Callithrix jacchus: one gene and its partners. The protein of the gene in region 2 interacts with the protein of the main gene of each other region in a biochemical or structural test. Links are inferred from orthologs where the notes say so. Each region holds a gene or a part of one and is shown on either strand. Other genes may lie near its edges. The genes, in order: WNK4, OXSR1 and WNK1.

Region 1 (8,033 bases), on a different chromosome or scaffold from region 2:
TGTCTGCTAACCGGCAGCTCCTTACATTATCATCACTAGATCCAACAACCTTGTGGGATAAATCTTACTATCCTATTTTAGAGATTAATGAAGTGGCCGGTTCATAGTCATATAGTAAGTCAGTGGCTTCCAATGGGGAGAAGAGACATTTGGCAATATCGAGACATTTTTAGTTGTCACAACTGGAGGGTAAGTGTTACTGAATCTAGTGAGTAGAAGCCAGGCTTTCTTTTCAACACCCTACAATGCACAGGACAGTCCCTAAAACAAAGATGTCAACAGTGCCAAGGCCAAGAATCCCTTGTCATCAGTGGATCAGATTTGATCTCAGGTCAGGTTGGGCAGTGCTATGGAGACTTACTCTAAATTTCTAACACATTCTCAGGTTCTTGACCCACCATAGGTTGTCTCCACCCTTGCAAGTGTCATCTCTGTATTAGAAATCCCATACCTGGGGCAGGGCACAGTGGTTCACACCTGTAATCCCAGCACTTTGGGAGGCTGAGGCAGGTAGATTACCTGAGGTCAGGAGTTCTCGAGACCAGCCTGGCCAACATGGTGAAACCCTGTCTCTACTAAAAATACAAAAATTAGCTTGGCATTGTGGCTTGTGCCTGTAATCCCAGCTACTCGGGAGGTTGAGGCAGGAGAATCGCTTGAACCCAGGAGGTAGAGGTTGCCATGAGTTGAGATAGTGCCATTGCACTCCAGCCTGAGTGACAGCGGGACTCCATCACTCCCCCCAAAATCCCATACTCCCTTCAGGACTTCCTAAGCCAGCCCCAGGCTTCTGCCCTTGCATCTTATGCCTCTTCTCTTCTACCAGCTTCCATTCATCACTGCCTCATTCCTTTTAGCCACAAGCTTTGGTGAGTGAGTAAAGGAGGTGGAGCAGGGTAACCTGATTTAAAATCTGAACCACCTCAGTTTCAATCCAGCTGTTCCACTTACTTACTTGAGGCTCTGGACAAGGTATTCAACCTCTCTGAATTTCCATTTCTTCATCAATAAGTTGACATAAAACTGCTCCGTATGCAGGATGGGTAGCAAAGCTCAAATGCATGTGAAAATGGCTGTTGTTTTTTTTCTAGATGGAGTTTTGCTCTTGTTGACCAGGCTGGAGTGCAGTGGCGTGATCTTGGCTCACTGCAGCCTCTGCTTCCTAGGTGCAAGCAATTCTCCTGCCTCAGCCTCTGAGTAGCTAGGATTCCAGGTGCGTGCCACCATGCCCAACTAATTTTTTGTATTTTTAGTAGAGACAGGGTTTTATCATGTTGGCCAGGCTGGTCTCCAACTCGTGACCTCATGTGATTCACCCACCTCAGCCTCCCAAAGAGCAGGGATTACAGGTGTGAGCCACTGTGCCTGGCAACAGTGCTTTAAGCCATGTACAGATATGGGCTATGAATAAGCTCTATGTGCCAAGCATTGCCAGGGACAGAAGAATCAATAAAACACAGTCTCTGTCCTCAGGGAGTTTATAGTTCAGTGGAGAAGAAAGATAGGAACTTATTCAGGTTTAAGACAGGACCCATGGTGATGAGTGCTGTAACCAAGAACCTGCTGAAGTGGAAAGGAGCATTTAAGTTGGACTCCAGAGGGGATGGCTTTCCAAAATGGATGGATCTGATCATGTTGGAAGAAAAAGAACAAGAGGGAGGGAGGAAAGAGGGAAAAGATAAATTGGCAAAAAAGGCATTCCAGGAAGAAAGGCTAAGCTGGAGGTAAAACAGGGACCCTGGAGGACCCAAGGCTCCCTTTTGTAAAGGAAAACTGGGTGTGCATGCGCCTGAGGTAGGGCTGGAGAGGCAGGGAGACGCTGCAGGATGTCTTGAGAGCCGGGAGGTGGCCTGCCCCCATCGCTGCCACCTCTCCTGCGCCCATCCCTGTTGCACTATCCCCTCCGGTCAACGTCCTTTACACGCCCAGTGGCAGTACAGTCTGTCCTCCGCTCACCATCTCCTGTGCCACCTCCTCGGCCGCGTCCCGGCCCAGCTGGAACAGGAACTCGATGGCCTGGTTGTCCCGTGGGCGCCCCCCGCGCCGCGAGTCCTCCATGCGCAGCCAGAGCTTGAGGCCCGGCTTCTCGCCGTCGTCCTCCTCCGCTAGTTCCACGTGCACACCGCGCTCCTCTCTGAAGAAGGCGTGGGCCAGGAGGTCCTGGATGGTGAACCTGAGGGTGAGGCGTGGGTGAGCCGAGCCCGCCGTGGCCTGGGCCCCTACTCTACCCACTCTCTGCCCTTTCACTCCCACCTCTCGTTCTTATCCGTGCGTATGCAGCCTTCAATGATCTCCTTCACCTCGGGTATCTTCACCTTGTAGAAGCTGTTCGGCTTTGTGCCCTGTGGGGAGGGGTTGCATGACACCTCCCATCCTCTGACCCCCAGCTCTTGGCTTCACACCCCCCCTCCACCCTTTACTCCACTCCTGCCTTAGGCAGCTGCACGTGCAGTTGCAAAAGCTTGACTGCTACTGCAAGATTTGATTTCAAATCCCAGTCCCCCCAACCAACCCAAGTATTTACAGTGTGACCTTGAACAAGTCTCCCACTGTTTCTTCATCTGTAAATTGCAGGGAGGAACATTTGCCCTGCTCACCTCGACAGGCAGCTGGGAGGATTGGATGTGAGACTGGATGTGAAATTGTGAACTCTTGGGAGCACCACACACATTATTATTCTAAATAGCATGGATATCCTTCTGGGTTCACCAAGGCATCTCTGTGTCTAGCCTGTTTTTGTGCAGGCAAAGGGCATTGACTGTGGGCTGGCCGGGCAGGAAAATGGGAAGTGGACCTGGAATTCCCATTCCTGCCAACCCCATCCCTCTCACCGAAGTGACCTTGCGGTAGATTTGTGCGGCATTCTGGCACTCGGAGTACGGGTACTCAGAGGTGGCCATCTCCAGCATGCACATGCCAAATGCATACACATCCACAGCCTCATCATACTTTTCCTCATACATCTCGGGGGCCATGAATTCCGGGGTCCCTGTAGGGTTCACAGCAGGGATCAGGTTGCTGGGTACTCTGGCCTCGTCCTGCCCCTTGGGCTGGGCAGCCCTGGGCAACCCTGGGGTGCAAGTGACCCCAGCCCACAGTGGGGTTGAGGGGGAATGCCATAGATCTCCCCAGCTTCCCTGTGGTCTGGTAATTTTGTGGACCTTGAAGGGCCTTGCTGAGGGGAGGGAGTCCCCAGGTTCTCTTCTGAGGTGGGGGAGGAAGGACCTTCCTGGAGAGACCCACCGATGACACTCTTGGCAAAGGAGGCGCGCTTAAGCGTGGCCAGGCCCAGGTCCCCGATTTTGACAGAGCCAGTAGGGCCCGTGATAAAGACATTGTCGCACTTGAGGTCCCGGTGCAGGATGGGAGGAACCCGGGAGTGTAGGAAATGAAGCCCCCGAAGGATTTGGCGGCTCCAACGCTGAAGGACTCTTGGCTTCATCTCCCGAAACCGCCTCAGGTACCTGGGGGAGGGAGCATAGCCAGGGTCGGTGGGGAACACGTCCTCGGGGGAGGGGCCCTCCACCGGGAAGCTCCCCCCTGCGGCACTCTGCTGCTGCCTCCTCATCTTCTGCCATCATTCTCCTAGCCTATGTCTGCCCGGCCCCGGGGAGAAACTGAGTCAGAGGATGTGGTGGATAGACTTGATGTTACCAAACAGGTTGGGAGGTAAATTGATAGATAGGGCCTCCGCCGAGGTGCTGTGGGAGCGCAGGAAGAGATGACTAACTGCCCCGAGCATGAGGGAGGGCTTCAGAGAGGAAATACTTTTGTATTGCATCTTGAATGATGAGTAGAAGCTCAAAGGTGAAAGGGGGAAGGGATGGAAACTTTCCAGGCAGACAGGACACCATGCTCAAAGGCACGGAAAAAGCCAGGGCAGGGCAGAGTGGGAGGAGGTCCCAGGAATTCAGTGTGTCTAGAACTTAGGCTGAAAGTGGGGCTGTATCCTAAGCTTGGCAAAGGAGGCACGCTTGAGCGTGTCCAGTGTGAGCAGATGAGCCCATGTGGGTTTTATCCCGAGGACATGAGAAAACCTGAAGGGGTTTTAAGGAGGGGAGTGACAGTTCAGATTTTTGACTGGGAAAGATCCTCCAGGCTGCAGGAAGATAGGATCACTTAGAGGGTGGCAGAGTTTGAGAAGACCCTTTAGGGGGCTGCTGCAGGGCTCCAGATCAGCAAGGTGGCATCGAGGTGGTGGCATGGATGGAGCAGTGAAAGTCAGGTAGGGAGAGGTTAAGGAGAGACGTGGAGACAGACTGATGAGGGGGCAGAGAGGAGAGAGAGGAGTCTGGGGAGACACCCACGTTTCTGACTGGAGCTCTGGCTGGACATAGCCACTCACCAAGGGAGGGACACAGGGTGGGTAAGAGGAGATGGTGAGCCTGGTTTTACATCTGGATATAGACAGTTTGAGGAGCCTGGGAGTTCAGGAAGCAGTGGGCACACATCCCAGCCTCCCTCTCCCCACCCACTCATGCGCAGAGCTCACGTCTTGAGCGTGCCCGAGGTCATGAGTTCGGTGACCAGCACGATGCAAACCTGGCCCCTCAGCACTGACTTCCACGAATCGTAGAAGCGGACGATGTTGGGGTGCTGCAGCCCCTTGAGCATCTCCACCTCCTCTGAGAAGCGCTGCCGCTCGGCTCTAGACAGTTTCCGAGTCTGTGGGACGGGGGATGGGTGTCATGTCAGGCCCAGGATCCCCATGGAAAGGAAGGGGGACAACTGGAGTGGGGTTGGGGAAGATGTGAGGGTTGGTTCCCACAGATGGGGTGGGATTAGTGGGATCACTCGCCCAATGGGCTGCAGACCCAGAACTCTCCAACAGTACCCATGTAAGCTGCTCCAAGGACACAACCAACCTGGGCCTGGGGCAGCCCCCTAGACCCCCTGCTGGACACAAGTGCCTTTATGCAGCCCCATCCAGGAGTCCTGAGCTCAATAGTGCCTTTGTGGCTGCCCAGACCGGCCATGGGGCGGGAGGGGGCGCCCAGGGGATGGCAGAGAGCAGGCAGCAGACGGGCAGCAGGAGACCGCTGGCAGGGAATTGGGGCCGGCAAGGGGGTTGGCCCCAGAAACCGGGAACTGCTAGATCCAGACTGAAGGCGGGAGGGCTGTGGAGGGAGGTACAGAGAAAGAAAAGATCCAGGACTAGGCGCCAGGAAGCCACCCCCCCCATAGTTGTCCCGCCCCGACTCCTCTCCCTCCCCTCACCCCCCAGTTTGGCTGCCTCTCCTGGCCTGGCCTAGAGCCTGGGGCGCGGCACTGGCAGGCACAAGGGGTGAGCCCTGTGCCAGGGCTAGAGAGGGACCCTTCCCTTAGGCTTTGTGCCCTTATCTGAATCTGAAGCTTCAGGCCCCAAGTTGACTGGGTTCTCCTAACTCACATGTAGCATGGGAGCGACGGGAGGAAGGTCCTCCTGAAGCCCACGGGTTTAGTGCCTTTAGGTCCGGGAAGGGAGAGCACAGGTAGGCAGTGGGATGAGGAACTGCACTTATTCGAGAGCTGGGACTCCCTATGTCCCCCTCCTTGCAGCTGTGGAGAAGTCCAGAAGTCTGACTGCTCCAGAAGGGTCTAGGGAACCCCACTCTGCTACAACTTCCCTAAATCTTCTGGAGTTGGAAAGGACCCTTGCCCAGCTCCTGGCTTCCCATCTCCCAGCCTCCTGGTCTGCAAATAGGTGGGGGATGGGGAGGAGTGAGGGGATCAAGAGGACCAGGGTCATAACTGAGGATCTCTGGACTTAGGGGAGAGGAAGGGATTGTGGATACCCACCAGCAGGAAACTGACCTGAATTGGCTCCCCAGCCCAACTTCCTATCCTATTTTCCACCTCTCAGGGTTGAGTATGGAGACTTTAAAGTGAGAATGTTCATGCCCATGGGAGAGTCACCAGACACCACCTGCCTCAGTTTCTCCTGCAGCCAGAGTCAGCCAGATCATTCAGGGCAAAGACAGCAGAGGTGTCTGGACATTTGATTGGAAAAATACATCCTTCCCTTGATGCTGTCTCCCCCACCCGCTGTCTCTCATCTAAGACCTCCAGAGTCCCATCCCAAGGTGCCACCGAGGGGGCGCCCAGCCGCACCTGCAGCTCGCACCAGGCCACCTCCACCGTGGTGTCGGTGTCTAGCCCTCGATACACGGTCTTGAAGGAGCCACGTCCAATCTCGATGTCAAACTTAAGGTATCGGCCGTCGGGGGACGTTGCTACAGCCTGGGTCTCCATGTCCTCCTTTTCTTCCTCCTCCCGCCGCCGTTCTAGGGCCACAGCTTCAGGGACCCTCAGCGGCTCCCTGGACCCCGGGCCCACTGCAGAGTCTGGGAGCTCGGGACGCGCGGAGTCTGCAGCCTTCACAGGGGCTTCCTCGGCCCACGTGCCCTCGGGGGGTTCTTTGGAGCTAGGCGGTGGGCTCCTCGCGGGGCCAGGACCAGCGGGGTCCGGAGGATCGGGGGGTTCCGGAGAGGGTGAGGTTGGCAGGGACCAAGAGCTCAGGAGCCCCAAGTCGACTGAGCTACGGCGGCTGAGACGAGAAGTGCGCGGCCGGGGCTCTGCCTTCCCGGAGAAGCGGCGCGCTCGGCGAGGATGGGGCCCGGGGCGGGGCGGCCCCGCGGAGGCAAGAGGCTGCGGCGGCCGCAGGGCCAGGTCGGCCTCAGTCTGGGACGTGGGGACGGCGGTCTCCGTGGCCGGCTGTGCCAACATGAGGAAGCGCAGAGCGCCGAAGGGCGGAAAGCCAGACGGTCGGAGAGGAGGCAGCCTGACAGGCGGACCCGCTGGGTGCGCAGCGCTCCAGCTGAGCGGCTGGGGCCCCAGCCCCTGGCTCGGCCCGGCCCCGCCCCTGCCCCGCCCCGCCCCATGGCCCGCCCTTGCCCCCCAGGCCACCCCTCCGAGTGGCTCGGGCGGTGTGGATGAGCAGCCCCTCACCTTAGTCGCCGCCCCACCCAGCAGTTTCCCCTCATCTCCCGAGCCTCCCCGGCCCCCGGCCGCAGTCTCGCTCCGAGGCCAGAACTGAGTGCGAGACCGCCGTGTCCTCCCGCACTAAGAGTGCGAAAACCTGTTTGTGCGCGGGGATGGGGGGCAGGGGGAGTTGAGGGGGGAGACGACACCCGGATGGGAGAGGAAACGTGCCTGCGGCTCCCGGGCTCTAGTGAGGGGTTATTTAGAGGGAGACTACCACCGGCCTGCACACCCCAGATAAGGCGGCACTACCCCCTCCGAACAGTCCGGAGTAGCCCCAGGCCGACCATACAGAGGTCAGTGGAAAGGTCCGACGTTGTTGTACCTCTGGTCTACATAGGGATGGGTGTGTACTCCCCAGGATAAGTCCCTCCCCCAAATCGAGAGCCCGGTTGGTCATCCATCCCCTCCAGGCCACCTTGGCCGCAGCCTGGCCCTGGCCAGAGTGGCTGTTTTTGCTATGTGGGCTCTCCTTCCTCCCCTTCTGTTTGCCAAAGTCTCCAATAAACCAAAGTCCACATCCGGCTTACGCCCTCAGCTCCCCTTGGCCACAGCGACCCCACCCAGACCAGATGGGTGGAGGGAGGGGCTTCAGAGTAGTTCAGGACTTTCATGGGGGAGATGGTGAGGAACGCGGGAGCCCTTAAGTAACTCCAATTCAGAGAGAAAGCAGTCTGTCCCCAAGCTGTGTTCCATCAGCACTCCTCCACACAGCCCACCCAGCAGATGTATAACCACAGGCTCACTGGAGCCCGCAGGGCTCTGGAGGACCTTTTCTTCTACAAAAGCCATAGGCTTTCTTCTCTCTCCTCTCCTTGGCTGGGATTTACTCGGATGGTAACACTTCACAGCCCTCCCCATACCCATTCCATACTGTAGTAATTAAGAGGCAGGCAGTGGGAGCTGAGATTTTAATATCAGAAATCAGTGTTGGGCCACACCTCTCACTGCCAGGCCCATGGGTCTCCTATCTTCATAATGCCTGGAAGGCTGCCTGCAGCCAGGGCTTCCCCCATCCCCTAGGAAGGATCCAGCACCTGCCTGAGAAGGGAGGCAACAGCAGCTAAAGGGGT
Region 2 (7,568 bases):
TCCTTTTCATACTCTTCTCGCCAAAAGTGAGTCAGTAAGTCCAGTTCATGCTCATAAAGTTTTAAACATTAATTATTGTATTTTTCATTTCCGGCATTGCTATTTAGTTCTTTTGTCATAGTCACAGTCTCTTCTTGTGGTTTTGATTTCTTCTCTTATGATTTTAATTATTTTCAATATACTTAATTTTATATCTTTTCAGATTATCACTCTATTACCTAAATCTCTTGGGGCACTAATCCTTCTGCTTGTGTCTGCTAACTAGTTCATAATGTATTGTTTCACTGCATGTTTCTTAATTTTGGATTGTGACCTTATCTTCAGTGGGGCACTATGTTCAGGAATCCAATGGGAGCTAGAGTTTAAGTGTTTTTCCAGTGCAGCTCTGTGACTACTTCTGTCAAAAATAAAAGTGACTTGTTTTTTTAACTTTCTAATCCTGTGGGTCCTAGACAGTATAGGTAGTATATAGACTCTAAACCTGTAGAATGTCCAAGTTGAAGGGCTTGATTATTCAGGAGAGATTTTGTTGTCTGTTACTGATGACTGACAGTTTTCATTCTTGTCTATCCTTTTACTAAGGATACAGACATCTGAAGTTCTTACTTTTAAGAAGAATCTCAGTTCAAACTCCCTACAGGATGGGCCTAAGATCTCAACTCCAGTCTTCACATGGGAGTTACAAATCCAAGTGAGTAAGTTATCAGAATGAATAGTGACCCACTGAAGACAGCCACAGGATTTGTTCACAATTATTTCTTCTTTAATTTAAGGCTTTCCTCATTATTTTTGGCATCTGAGAATCTTTAAGTTGCATAGATTTTTATCTGGCATTTCTAGTTACTTGTAACAAGAGAATTTTGTTTCTTTAATCAACTAATTTTGTAAAAGAAAGTGTTCCCTGTCTTTTTTTAACCGTTTACTCCCAAACAGAAAAAAAAATTATAAAAACACAGCTATAAATTTTGCTACCTGTTTTTCTGGCCCTTTCCAACATTTCCAACAATAAATTCTGAAGCCTTATTACATATGCTACAGATGTGATCAACAACATCAGTCTTTCCCTCTTAATGATCTTTAGAGAAACAGATATTAAAGAACTCAGTGCTTAGAAGCTGAGTAGAATACATATGTAAAACAGACAAATAAGATTCAGAGGAAAAAGAGCCCTAAATTAGAAATCAGGACTTTGAGATTAAAGTCCTACCCCTATAACTAAGTACCAGGTGACCTTAAAAATAAAAGGTTGTGCCCAACACGCTACGATTATGTTTCATTCATGAAGCTACACACATTAGATGTTCTTATGTATTTGCTTACTTACCATTCAATCTGTCTCATATTGATAAGGAAACTATCTGAATTTCTGGTCCACTTACTAAAATCCTTTTCTAACATGGAAATAAATATGATTATTTGACACTAAATATAAATTTTCTATGTGCCTTTCCTTTATTCATACTGTAAATGGCATTAAGGCATCCATTTATAAATTTTAAATGCAAATTGAAAACAAACTTCTCAACTAACTTGGCATTTATTAATACAGAATTCACAATGTACAACTTTATAAGGAATTAATCAGGAAAAGGCTGAACTATTTAGGGTACACTGTATGCTACAAAGAGGGCAGAAATCATTTCCAATCTCTACATACTTTCTTAGGGTTTATATTTAGTTCATTTGAATATGTACAAATAATTTCCTCTACATACATGTGTGTGATTCTTAGACTTCTTCACAATGTTTTACTTATTAGAGAGAAAAGTAAACTTTTTCTCATATTTTACCTTTTTTCTGGATCTTTTTGAAGGCACAATGAAATCATTTTTCTAAATGATTTTCCGTATTTTTTCAGCATTTCTTTATCTTGAACACCAGTTTCCAAAGAAGGGGGATCATTCTGCAGTGTCAGCATTAAAACCTGTAAGAATTTTCAGTATACTATAAACTTGTGATGGCTCAGTAAAGTTTACCTATTGTGGTCAAGATTTTTCAATATAGGCACCCCATACCAACATATAACATTTTATTTTCTATCTAAATCAATTGTTTAAAACTCAGAATTTTTATGTGTATTTCACATAAATAACATGCTGTAGATGGTTAGCTTCTCAATACATGCACACAATGGAATATTATTCAGCACTAAAAAGCAAGAAAATTCTGCAATATACTACAACATGGATGAACTCTGGGGACATTATGCTAAGTGAAATACTAGTCATGTAAAGACAAACACTGTGTGATTCCACTTATATGAGGTATTGAGAGCAGTCAAATCATAGAGACAAACAAGGGGCTGAGAAAGAGCGGCAATCAAGAGTTACTATTTAATGGGTACAGAGTTCCAGTTTTCAAATGAAAAGTTTGGATACAGATGGTAGTGATAACTGCACAGCATTATGAATGCATTTAATACCACTGCACTATACACTCAAAATGGTCAAAGATGATGGTCAATTTTATGATATGTGTATTTTGCCACAATAAAAAAAAATAAAAGACTGGCAAATGGTTGTGAAAAGGAATTGGGACTTGAGCTGGGGTAGTATTTAGAATATGAACCTCACCTTCATTGGTGGATATTTATGATAAGGAGCTGCCCCTGTGGCCAATTCAATTGCTGTAATTCCAAAACTCCAAATATCAGCTTTGAAATCATAACCTCGGACCTGCAAGAACAGATTTGCATGATTATTTTTTAACAGCATAAAAGGACTTTTAAAGGTTAGGTTGTGAGGCCAGGCGCAGTGGCTCATGCCTGCAATCCTAGCACTGTGAGAGGCTGAGGTGGGAGGATTAGGTGGGCTTGAAGCCAGGAGTTCAAGACCAGCTTGGGCAACATGGTGAGACCCATCTCCATAAAAATGTTTTTTAATTAGCTAGGAGTGATGATGTCCACCTGCAGTCCAGCTACTTGGGAGGCTAGCTCAAGCTGAGAAGTTGAAGGCTGCAATGAGCCATGATGGCACCACTGTACTCCAGAGTGAGCGAGAGAGCAAGACTGTCTCTAAAAATAAACAAAAAGGCTAGTTTCTAATGTGTACCAAGAACAATGAAAGTGTTCATAAGCATTAAACCAGTAAAAAATAAAGACACAACGTGTATGTTCCCCAACAGTGAAGAAACTGTTAAGTATGGTATATTAAAAAAATCAGTCAGCTAAAAGCAGTATTTACTAATACTATATGAACATGTAAGAAACATTTGTGATAAAACATGAAGAAAAAAAATTGCTCATGAGTCCTGAAACTTTTACAAACAGTAAAATACTGGAAAAAACTAAAACAAAATGTTTTGTAGTGGGGTGGCTTTTTTGTTTTCCAAAGGATCTACATTATGGCACCTTAATTTCCACAATGAAAAGGTTACAAAGATTGTGAATACTTTTAAACTTTTTAGAGTGAATATGTTGCCAAATTTCTCTACTGTCACCAGCAAATTATATGGCTATAAATTTTAATTTTCTATCCTAAGCAATATAGGAGAAATAGGTTTGGGGAGTGTGTAGTGTGGGCTTAAAACCAGGAGTTCAAGACCAGCCTGGGCAACATGGTGAGACTCCACCTCCACAAAAAAGACCTAAAAGTAAGGATCAATAGTATGTGCTGCCTTGTCCTCTGGTAAAACTGAAGGGCCTTTAGTGACCTAAGGCCCCCTCCCCACTCTGCTCTTGCAGATAATGTCTCCTAGCCCGACAATCCTCCTTAGCAAATGACCAGGTACAGTTCCTGCTTGGCCCTGAGAAGCAAGTTTCAGCTCCCTGTCAGTCAATCATATCTTCTCAAGGAAACCAAGGGTCATCACACTCTGCTGGTACTACAAACCCCGTCTCCAAAGCCCCTTCTCATTCATTCTGCTACTGAGTGCAACCCCACTGGTCCAGCATGGCATGCAAGTGTCCTCCTCCCCAGGCTGTGAGTATATGTGACTATGAGACAGCTATCAATCTCGTCTGTCCAGTGTCAGGTGCTGTACGTTCAGCCATTCCCATAACTTTACAGTGGGAATCCTTCCCTCACCAACAGGGTGAATGCAGGTGATTAAAACAGAGTCAAAATGAATTTAGTTCAAAGCATACTGAGTTTGATGTATCTATAAGGCATTTATGTGAAGCATTTATTAAGAACTAGCAATACCTATATGGAGGTTTTGGGGAAAAAAAACTGGACATAATTTAGAAATCATTAATAAGAAGCACAAATGGGAATACCTAGTGAGTATTTGCAGTCAGAGAAGAGAAAAGCTCAAGAATAAGGTCGTGGGAAGCAGTGTCATTCAGGAGAATGAGAGCCAGCAAAGTCAGAGGAATGGCTTGACAAACAAGACAAGAATGAAGAAACAACATTAAGGAGGCTAGGAACGTGAATAAAGTTGGCATGGTCAACAGTTTCAAATATCACCAATCAGACAAGTTAAATAAGGAGTAAGAAATGAGCTCTGGATTTGAGAAGTAGCAGAGTTTCCTTAAAATAATGGGATGAGTGACACCAGACTGCAACTGTTTGAAGGGGAAATGGGAAATGGGAACATAGAGACAACCAGTCCTTCGAGAAACACAGCAATAAATCTTGATGTAAAAATTAGTCTAATTTGTACTAATTTGTACAAATTATTGTACTAATTTGTACAAATTATTGTACTAATTTATACTAATAAAATTAACACAAACCTTGATTATATTATTCCTGAGTTTCATATATCCTTTGCAAAGTCCTAGAGTGTTTTTGTTATTTTGTTTTCAAGGGTGGACTAAAGTCCTAACCAAGAAACCGGGACATGTTTCCCAAAGCTAACCTGGTATGCCAAAGAAAAGCAAACACTTAAGTTTTCTCAGTTTCATAACAAAGCCCTAACCCATTTAAAACAGACAAAAAGACACAGTACCTGTTCCATAACTTCAGGTGCCATCCAACAAGGGGTGCCAACAAAGGTCTTTCTCACTTTATTTCGGGTAATATCACCACCAGTTGCTAAAAAAGCACTAACCCCAAAGTCTGAAACAGAATACAACAGCAAGGTTGTATGAAAGTGCATCAACTCTCATAAATGAATAGGCAAACAATAAAATGTAGTCACCATCCTATATCTAAGATTAGAAGCATGATAGTTTCTCATCTTTTTGCTGAACTTCTTGGCTAAATTAAGACATAGCTTAGACTGGGAGAAGTGGCTCACGCCTATTATCCCAACACTCTTGGGAGGCCAAGGCAGGAGGCTCGCTTGAGCCCAGGAGTTCATCTTTGCAAAACAAAACAAAAACAACAAAAAAGACATAGTTTAGCAGGTGCCTCACTCCATTCCTCTCCAACGCCACGTTTTCATGTTCTCAGATTTTCCTTCTTGCTCTAATCCATTCTACATACCACTATTAGATTCATTCATTCATTCATTTTTAAATTATCACTTTGACATGACCCTTTCAGCTCAGAAAATCCTACAGAATGAAATTCAACCTTTTTAACTTAGTATTCAAAGAGCTCTCAAGAACTTGGCCCCAAATAAATTAAAGTTCATAATTCTTAATACATATCCTAACTTCCTTCACCTCTTAGTGGATATATGACAATGGTAAACTTAGTTCACTTCTCTAAGCCTCAGGATTTTCTCTACGAAGATTTTATCCCACAATACTGAAGCCAAAGTACCAGTCACTAATACGGAGGACAGCTTGTCTCTTCAGGATCCCTCTTTTTCTGTAATTAGCCCTGGGTGTATATCTGTACTCCCTCACCTTGACCCCTGGGCATACTTGATTTGAGCCAGGGTTAGACACCTTAATCCAAGGCAGGCCTATCTTAAATCTTCTAGAAATGTGAAGCTTGAATGGACAGACAAGGAAACTAAGGGTCAATGAAGCTGAGCCATGCTAACAGCATCCTGAAGGTCACCAGCACAACTGGGTTCCTGCCCATTCTGAGGCTTAGCTGTTCAGTTGATTTTTTTATTCTGTGTACTTCCTAGTTTATTTCAATAATTCCTGCTTTGTTAAGTCAGCCGGTGATAATTTCCAATACAACCAAAAGAACTTTAACTAATATAGTGAGGCTCTTATATACCATATCCAACTTTTGTACACCTTTTCTGATTCCACTTTTGTGTCTGTTCCAGAACACTCTGCATTAAGTAAAATGAGCCCATATTTGTCCATAATTTATTGTATTTTCAAATTTATCTGTTTTCAGAATTTCTATTTCATACTTTTTTTTCAATTTGAAAATACAATAAATTATGGACAAACTGATTGTTTGAAGGATAATTTTAGCATGGTAAACTTTAAAATTCCAGATTCAGAAGTCTATGAATTCTGCCACTTTCAAGCAATTTATTTGAAATAATTGCTTGTCTATACGGTACAACTGAAAAATAACAAGTCAATACAGGTTTAAAAAACAATAATCTTGTCTGAATGTACTTAGAATTATGAAAAATTTAAAAAAACAATAATTTTGGCTAGGCACAGTGGCTCATTCCTGTAATCCCAGTACTTTGGGAAGCTGAGGCATGAAGAGCAGTTGAGGCCAAAAGTTTGAGACCAGCCTGGGCAACAAACACAGTGATGTGAGACCCCATGTCTATAAAAAATAGAAAATTAGCTGCGCATGGTGGAGGGCACCTGCAGTCCTAGCTACTTGGGAAGCTGAGGTAGGAGGACTGCTTGAGCCTAAGAGTTGGAGGCTGCAGCGAGCTACGTTCACCCCACTGCACTCTGGCCTAGATGACAGAGCAAGACCCTTTCTCTAAAATAATAATAATAACAGTTTTCAAAGCTCTCAAACTGGCAAATTTCTAAGAACTTTAAAATGCTGTTCCAATTGTAACAACAATAATAAAGGAAACATTTTTAAGTGCACTGGAAAGGGGAAAAAGTACGTTCAGTACATTCAGCTCTGCCACTAGTCAGCTGAACTTGGGCAGGTATTTTCAATCTTTGTGCTACAATTTCTTCATCTATAAAAAGGAGGCAATAACAGTAGCTACTCAACAAGGTTGTTGTTGAGGATTAAATGAATTAATAATATACTTGAAATAGTCCCTGTAATATATTTTAATACTAAACACTCAATAAGTACTAGGTATTTTTATCACTAACTAGAAAGAAAGCCGTGCCTTAAAATACTTAAATACGATAAAGACTCAAACAATTTATACACAACATATTTTTTAGGTTCAATTATAAAGAGTTTTTACTTTTTAAAAACCTACTGAAAACCTTCAAGTAGCTTTAAAATATGCAGAATTTTAAATGCAGAACTTAATAATGATCCAGAATTTTTGGATCTTCAGCTAGTATACCTCTGCTTGTTTCCAAGTGAACCCTGAAGACTAGTTAAAACATTTAGCTAAGGAATGTAAGTGAGACTATCCACTTTACCAAAATATTCTTGTTAAACAACCTGCACAGCTACAATGCCAAGGAAACATAATCAATCAAACTATAAAGTTAAGAACAGAAACCAAAGAGCAAAAATGCCATCTGCCTTTTGTTTTAAATTGCCAAATAAAGAGAAACAGTAACTTCAATGTGAAAAAAAATCACATAGCTCCTTTGTTAATACAGTTTC
Region 3 (7,568 bases), on a different chromosome or scaffold from region 2:
GGGCTGAATAAACTGTTTTGTGCCTGGTGCTTTGACTATGGCTTGTCACACAAGGTCATGTGTGGAATTTTCCACTTCTGGCAACATGTCAGTGCTCAGAAATTTTCAGATCTCAGAGCGTTTCAATTAGGGATGCTCAGGCTGCAGCTGTTTCTACTTCTGCATTTCATACGTGCGATGTGACCACCTTGACCAGAAATTGGCTTTTCATAGTGTTTAGATGTTTTATAATTTTTTCCCCCAAATAAATAATGAATTTGCAATTTTATTTTTGAGAGGGTGTCTCTCTGCATCCCAGGCTGGAGTGCAGTGGTGCGATCTCTGCTCACTGCAACCTTCACCTCTGGGGTTCAAGCGATTCTCCTGCCTCAGGCTCCTGAGTAGCTAGGATTACAGGCGCTGTGACCATATCCGGCTATTTTTTTGTCTTTTTAGTAGACAGGGTTTCTCAGTGTTGGTCAGACTGGTCTAGAATTCCTGACCTCAAGTGATCTGCCTGCCTTGGCCTCCCAAAGTGCTGGGATTACAGGCATGAGCCACTGCGCCCAGCCAATTTAGTTTTTTTAAAGACGTATTTTGGACTGGGCTGTGCCTATCTTGAAGCAGTGACTTCTTTTTTTTGGCTCACAGACATATTTATGGGAAGCCGTGAACCGAGATAAGGAAGTCTGAAATACTAGCCAGCAGCCGACTGTTCTATTCCTTTGGAAGATGAAGAGGTAGCAAAAGAGCCCCCAAAAATTAGGAATCAGGTTATAAATTGCACTTAAAATAGTGCCAATGAAAATGTGAAGGAATTTTCTGTAAATGAAACCCCACAGCTCAACAAAAGCAAGTTTGGTTTATTTGAATGGTTTCATTAAATAAGTCTACAAAGGTAACAAACGGAAGCACAAAGCGCAATCTTACAAGAAGCGCAACACCCAGAGTTAGTGCAAAATGTACAGTTAACGGCTGCTGAGAAACCCCCGAAGTTTGAATTTTTATTTTTTTAAACAGTGTACATTGTTAAATAATGTAAGGAAAACACTTATAATTCAGAAAGTTTTTTTTAATGTGGAAAAAGATATTCAAAGTGTACTATTAACACAAAAATAATTTAAACAGTTCAGTAGCACTAGGTCGTTCCTCTAGGCTTCAGTTATTTCATCCGCAGGAAGATGAATTAACAGTAAATAAAACCAGTTCTTTTTGTGTATGAGTGAAAAAAATCTCAAAATTATTAAATTCAAATAACAAATGCTAACGTGCTGCATTAGGCTCCCCTGCTCCTCCGGTATACAGTATTTTCACTCTTAGGTGGTCCCTTTCTCAGTTACTCGGCTCCTTGTTGGTTCTATCCTTACTCTCCACAAGCTATATAAGCAGAGAATAAATAAGTAAATATTTTTAAAGCAGGGATTGAAACCCCCGCCCTTTTCCTTTCTACCTCTTTAAAACCTTCAGCTCTCATTTGCATACTTAGGGCCGGAGACCAACTTACGAAGGGAAGCAGGGCCCATAAGGAATGAACAGGGTACAGAGAGCCTCAGCTTCTTTCTGTGGTGGTGGTGATTCCCGGAATATGCCATTGACGTGGGTAAAAGGTTGGAAATGTCAGTTTCCCAACTACGCGTCAAGAAGCACCCCAAAATTAAGAGTTTTAGCTTCTTTGTCCGTCTTCAGAGATAACAAAGATCCCAAACATAGCCAATTAGGACAGTATTTCCGGAAAGCTCTGAAAACAACAGAACTACCCATTACAAGTAGGCATAGCACTAAATAACACTGATTGGTTGCAGTTATTACTTAAGGGGAATATCTGACAATGTGAGCATATTAGTTGTATTTCTGGAAATAAAGGTGGCACAATAGATTATGATCCTGCAACCATTTGGACATCATAAAGGAAATGAGTAGGAATAAGTATCCTTTCCTACGATGATTATTAATTCAGATGTGGAAAGATTCTCTCTCCACAAAATATAGTACCCCAAGCTGAGGACTGCATGGTACATGTGCAACAAGATTGGAAAGCAATCCAGTTTTTCTTAGAGCAACTTTCTCCATCTGTGACTTTTCATTATCAGGTTCCCCAACTTGATAACTAGCCCCCACCCCCTTTGCTTTATGTTCAATTTCTTCTGTTCTGTTCACGTCTGTTCAAGCCTAGCTCAAATAAAGGTTTATATGACAGTCATTGGCCAGGTATCATGTATCTTCCAAACAAGTTTGTTTCCTCATTCTTTAGTCTTTGTCTTTCACCCAGCACATACCATTCTTGGTCTTTTAAGTTGCCCAATTTTGTTGTAACACCCCCTCCTCACTCTTCCTGAAACAAAACTTTGTTTTTAACCACTAATGCCAACTTAACTTCCCACCTACTCATCTTACACCTGCTCTAGACAAAGTTGTTGAAGGACTTAAAAAAATACTTTTTCTATTTCCCTTTGGCATATCCACTGCTGGGGTCACATGGACCTAAGATTTCCTTCCACATGCCCTTTATTGATCTGGGGTCTGATAAGTTGATGCTAATGGCAGAAGCAATATAAGTAAGTCCAAGGCACTAAAATGTCCAGCAAGCAACACTGGGAAACAGAAGTATTCAAGTACAGTAATTTATACAATTTTACATTCACATTTATTTATCTAATACAATGGAAATACAAAGGAAAAAGTTAAAGTGTCTCAATAAGTAAAGGACAGAGCTAGCTTTTTTTTTGGAACTTTTTAAACGTTTCATATTTTACTCTTAAAACTACTGTTGTCCAACAACATTTTATATATCACAGTGTTTCCACATCAAAACTGATGGCAAAGTTACATGTCCGCAGGGAACTTATTTTTTTTTTCCTAATTGCTAATGCTGCAGTCAAAGCTGCTAGTATCTTTTGCTTAAAGCACTAATGACCTATCATAAGAAAGGGCTGCACCCCAGTCCCCTGGTATTTTTCACTGGGTTCTAAAGAGCAAAGAAAAAATCAAAAAGAGAAGGGGGGAAAAAGGGAGAAGGGCAGGGTAGGAGAGAGCCCAATAGGTTGTTTTTGTCTTGTGGTTCAGATTCTTGAGGGAGTAAAGGATTTGGGGCATGTACCAAAATCAAGAACTCCACCCACTCAAAATTACAGATGGGGTTTGATTTTACATTGAGTTCTCTAGCTTCCTTATGAACAAGACTTTCCTAGCCCTCATCCTCACTACTGAGTACAAATAAACAGGAAAGCATGGTCTGAAGCTGCCCCTTTACAAGAAAGCTGCTCTTTCCTTCCTCTCCTACTCCAGTTAGTAGAGCAGGGGAGACTCTCCATTCTGAGGACTCAACGTGGAATTAAAAACATTCCCTTCTGGCAAGAAATAACCAGTTAAATGCAGCAGTAGTAGTTAGTATATAGGCTACTCCCACCCCCCACCCCTCCCCACCAGCATTCCATCTCCTGCCCCCAGATCTATTCAGTTAATGTCTCTAGGTCTAAGTGGTCCGCAGGTTGGAACCTGGGGGGTTGCTGATGGATTTCTGCAAATTGCTGATGTTGAAATTCTGCAAGGAGGCAGTTCCCACAGGTTGGAACTGGCCAAGTGGCTGTGGTGCTGGGCCACCTGTCCCACTCCACTGAGCGCCAAATGGGGTAGCTGGAAAGCCATACTGCTGTGGGGGGCACATAGATTTGGTGAAGTGACCTAGAGAGGTAGCTGATGCTGCAGAGATGGGGGCAGAGCCACCCAGGTTCGAGGTCATGGAGGTGCACAGTTGCCCAGGTGCAGAGAACTTCCTTGCCATTCCAGGGCCCTGAAAACAAAACAACCGCATGTCAAGTCTGGTGTGGGTTTAAGAGATAAGGGTGTAAAATGTGTGGTGCTAACATATACTTCTGGTCTAATCCTGTAAGATACAGCAAAAGCGTCTTCTATAGTATTCATTGGCTCTTTATATTTACCAAGTAAGGGTGAAAATAATCCTGATGAGAGGGGAGGGATGTCATGTGCATATGTGTGTCTGTGTGTGTAGTTCAGGATGAAGACGAGAAAAGGAAGAAGAAAAAGTTGAGCTGACCAGTAAGATTAGAGATTCAGGGAAGAAAAAATAAAAGGGTACCTGGGGGATTTTTGCCTTGTTTTTCTAAAATGTTAAAATTAATGAGCTACTAAAGAAGGTCCTGGTATAAGACATTAAGCAGCAATCTAGTAGTTTATATCAACTGGATTCAGATGTGTGTTATGTGATTCTCTATGATAAAAGAGAGACTTACCTCATAATTCATGTGCCCTTTGCTTCCTCTCCTGCCTGACAGATTCATGGCATCTCGGGCCCAATTGTCTACCAACTTGTGCAGGTCATCTGTGAACGTGCCCTTCCTGCTGGACGTCATGGCAGGAGGCTGAGCTTGGGCAGCTTGGCTGTTCACTGTTCCCCCAACAGTGTTTGTGCTGCTGGTCCCTATGACAGGCAACAGAATACAAGCATTAAAGGGAGCCTAGGTTACAATTTCAGGAAAAGGGAAAACTTCACGGGGTGATGAATGGCAAGCCACAGAATGGGGAGAGGATGAACTGGGAAGCCATGCAAGAAGGGTTCCAAGGTTTTGTTTAGCCACTGGTTTTGGTATAATAGGGTGATGAAAACAGTTTCTCTTCAGTAGCTGCTGATAAGGCTGAACAACTCAGGATGATGGTAGGTAACACAAGGCAAGGGCTTCTTTCACAAAGCACCTAAGAGTACTGGAACTGCTTGCCAGTATGCCATTCCCAGCATCATGTTGCTGATGGAAGTGTGATACGATTAGCAAGGCTTGTTGCTCTGAAATTTTGCAGAATGTAGGACAAAAGAGGATTTCTTGTGCCTTGGGCAAAGTTTAAGTAGGAGTAGGAATAGATGCTTGGCTAAGGAGAAGGGGTTTCCAAGCCATGTGGACACTACCACCTTTTTTTTTTTTTTTTTTTAAGACTTACTCTATTGCCCAGGCTGGAGTGCAATGGCACAATCTCAGCTAACTGCAACCTCCACCTCCTGGGTTCAAGAAATTCTCCTGCCTCAGCCTCCAGAATAGCTGGGATTACAGGCGTGCACCACCAAGCCCAGCTAATTTTTGTATTTTAGTAGAGGCGGGGTTTCACCATGTTGGCTGGGCTGGTCTTGAACTCCTGACCTCGGGTGATCTGCCTGCTTTGGCCTCCCAAAGTGCTGGGATTACAGGCGTGAGCTACCACGCGTGGCTTTTTTTTTTTTTTTTTTTTTTTTGAAGAGCCTCTTCTCTGTCACCCAGGCTGGATACAGTGGCACAATCATGGCTCACTTTCAGCCTCAAACTCCTTCTGCCTCAGCCTCCCAAGTAGCTTGGGACTAGAGGTATGCACCACCATACTCAGTTACCCAGTTAAATTTTTAAATATTTTATACAGACATAATCTCCATATGTTGCTCAGAAACGAACTGAACTGCCGGGCTCAGGCAATCCTGCCATCTCAGCCTCACAAAGTGCTGGGATTACAGGCGTGAGCCACCATGCTCAGTCTAGCCATTCTTTAAATAGAGAGAGGTAATAAGAGAAGTAGCATGCTGTGTTCAGAAAACTTTTTCACCCATAAACATGAACGTGCAAACATAAACTTGAGAGGGGTTAACCTCTCCCAATTTCCTATGAGTAAAGGAACAAGATTACTCATGAGGAAAGGACTGTATGGTGTGCCTGAATCTTTCAACTCCAGGAAGACATGGTTTTCCCGAAGATGACCTCAGTTTCAGTTGACTCAAGGATTCCCACCGTTTCTCCCCACCTTCCCAGAACAGCAAGCACTCCCATGTAGAAGCGACAAGAAAATGCAGCTGAGGCAGGGTGCAAAGGGGAGGCGGAAGCTCTGCGGTTACGATGGAGGAATTCTATTTCTATGGTTTGATGAGAAAGGAAGAAGGAGTCTATGTCCTGCCTGATTTCGGCTCTGCTGGAGGGCACACTGAAGATTATTCGAAGAGGCACGTTTTGGGGAAGAGGGAAAGAAGAGTCATGGTCTTGTCTGTTTTCCTCACCCTCCCCCCGACCTGTTTTACCAGATCTCACTGGTAAGTTGTGAATCACTAGTCTTTAAGATATCCAAGTAAAGCTGGGGGTAAATAAGCAGCATCAGACACAGCAGCACACCTAACGCAACCCTGCCACTTAAAAGCCTGTTATTGACCATCACTGGTCTCAAGTCAAGCTTATATCCTACCACCAAGGGAACGGCACACACAAGCATGTCTGTGCTGGAGTACCAGCTAATTCTGAGGTGAAGCTGTAGAGTGAGGAAGGTCACATGCTTCTTACCACCATGGCAAGACATGAACTATTGCAGTGTGAGTGTTAGCTCACTTCTTGGTGCCTGCTGGAGCCACAAGGGGATGGCTATTGCACATACAGTGTAAAAGGAAGAGTAAGTTCCCCTACAGTATAGAAAACCCAAGTGGAAAAATATTAAAGCACAGGAAACAGCCTTCCATGAACAGCAAATGTGAGAGGGTGGTGAAGTGGGAAGCACAGGCAATGAGGATGAGCAGTCATGACAGTGAGGGTCTCAATCTTGAAAGCAAGCATTTCACATGCATGGGGACTGTCATCCTGTTTAAATGATTATTGCTTGGTGAGCTTGATGTGAGAGTCAATCAAAACAAAAACCAGAAATAATCAGAGGGGAGCAGGGCTGTCAAAAGCTAAAAATACAAGCAGCTTAGGAGACATGACCACTGCTTATACACAAAGAGCTCATGCTGGGAGACACACCTCTCTAGTCTGATGCTAGTCTTTTGCCCTGATGCTGCGAGGCCCCTTTAGAACCAAATTTCACTTTTCATTTTAACCTACATTACCTAATACAGGATTCTCTTCCCACGAGGAAAGAGAAACCACGAGGAAGAGTCAACCATACAGTTAAACTTTCGCATTCTGGATTCTGTATACAGGCTTCCCATTAAAGAATGAAACAAACTTATCTTTTTCTGACCAGAAACTAACTCCTAAGAAAAGGAGAGCTAACTATAAAAGCTATAGAGAATATGCTAACTTCTAAACCTTTTTTAGTTCTTCTGGAAAGCCCCAATAAATAGTATAGACTTACCCTCAAGATTCATTTTTAAATTTCCTCCTGCCATTATAATACATTTTCCCTACTCCCGCACCACTAGATCCTAGTAACAATAACCTATTATGAACCGTAACTTACAGCCCAGCATCCCAAGTACAGAATTTCCCTGTTGACCCTACCTAGAACATTGTAAATGGCCTGCTGGGTTGCCGAACTATCTGTACTTTAATGAGAAGCCATAGTCTAAAAAGACAAACACTACAAAGTGGTGTTTCTCTCCTCACCAATCTAGCAGACATCTCCCACTTCAATGTGAACAAAGGGAGGGCATGGACTTTTGTATGATTAATCACTGCTGAGTTTCCTGTTGGGGTAATAACACTGCCCGGCACATACTTGCTGACTAAAGGATCTCTCTCCCATAGGAACTAGGCATTCCTGATCTCCCTATACACATCCATGGCCATTACCAATCCATGTCTGCCACAAGCTAGGCTGACACGGGGTTATCACTGAGGGCACTAACTGTGAGA

What was found.
Region 1: the proteins of OXSR1 (region 2) and WNK4 are reported together in a solved structure, tested with the Homo sapiens proteins (2 studies listed by BioGRID and IntAct, with this or other methods). The link is inferred for Callithrix jacchus from reciprocal best matches to the Homo sapiens genes OXSR1 and WNK4.
Region 3: of the proteins of OXSR1 (region 2) and WNK1, one has a biochemical effect on the other in vitro, tested with the Homo sapiens proteins (2 studies listed by BioGRID and IntAct, with this or other methods). The link is inferred for Callithrix jacchus from reciprocal best matches to the Homo sapiens genes OXSR1 and WNK1.

Annotation. Positions count from the first base shown.
Region 1 is NC_133506.1:121,107,433-121,115,465, forward strand, and holds the start of WNK4 (serine/threonine-protein kinase WNK4), read right to left. Parts: upstream 6,795-8,033; 5' UTR 6,706-6,794; coding exon 6,091-6,705; intron 5,118-6,090; coding exon 4,866-5,117; intron 4,666-4,865; coding exon 4,493-4,665; intron 3,465-4,492; coding exon 3,244-3,464; intron 2,990-3,243; coding exon 2,832-2,989; intron 2,343-2,831; coding exon 2,254-2,342; intron 2,174-2,253; coding exon 1,957-2,173; intron 1-1,956. UniProt on the Homo sapiens protein: Serine/threonine-protein kinase component of the WNK4-SPAK/OSR1 kinase cascade, which acts as a key regulator of ion transport in the distal nephron and blood pressure.
Region 2 is NC_133518.1:76,078,131-76,085,698, reverse strand, and holds part of OXSR1 (serine/threonine-protein kinase OSR1), read right to left. Parts: intron 5,001-7,568; coding exon 4,891-5,000; intron 2,676-4,890; coding exon 2,574-2,675; intron 1,925-2,573; coding exon 1,791-1,924; intron 1-1,790. UniProt on the Homo sapiens protein: Effector serine/threonine-protein kinase component of the WNK-SPAK/OSR1 kinase cascade, which is involved in various processes, such as ion transport, response to hypertonic stress and blood pressure.
Region 3 is NC_133510.1:14,065,539-14,073,106, reverse strand, and holds the end of WNK1 (serine/threonine-protein kinase WNK1), read right to left. Parts: intron 5,932-7,568; coding exon 5,905-5,931; intron 4,418-5,904; coding exon 4,230-4,417; intron 3,770-4,229; coding exon 3,452-3,769; 3' UTR 823-3,451; downstream 1-822. UniProt on the Homo sapiens protein: Serine/threonine-protein kinase component of the WNK1-SPAK/OSR1 kinase cascade, which acts as a key regulator of blood pressure and regulatory volume increase by promoting ion influx.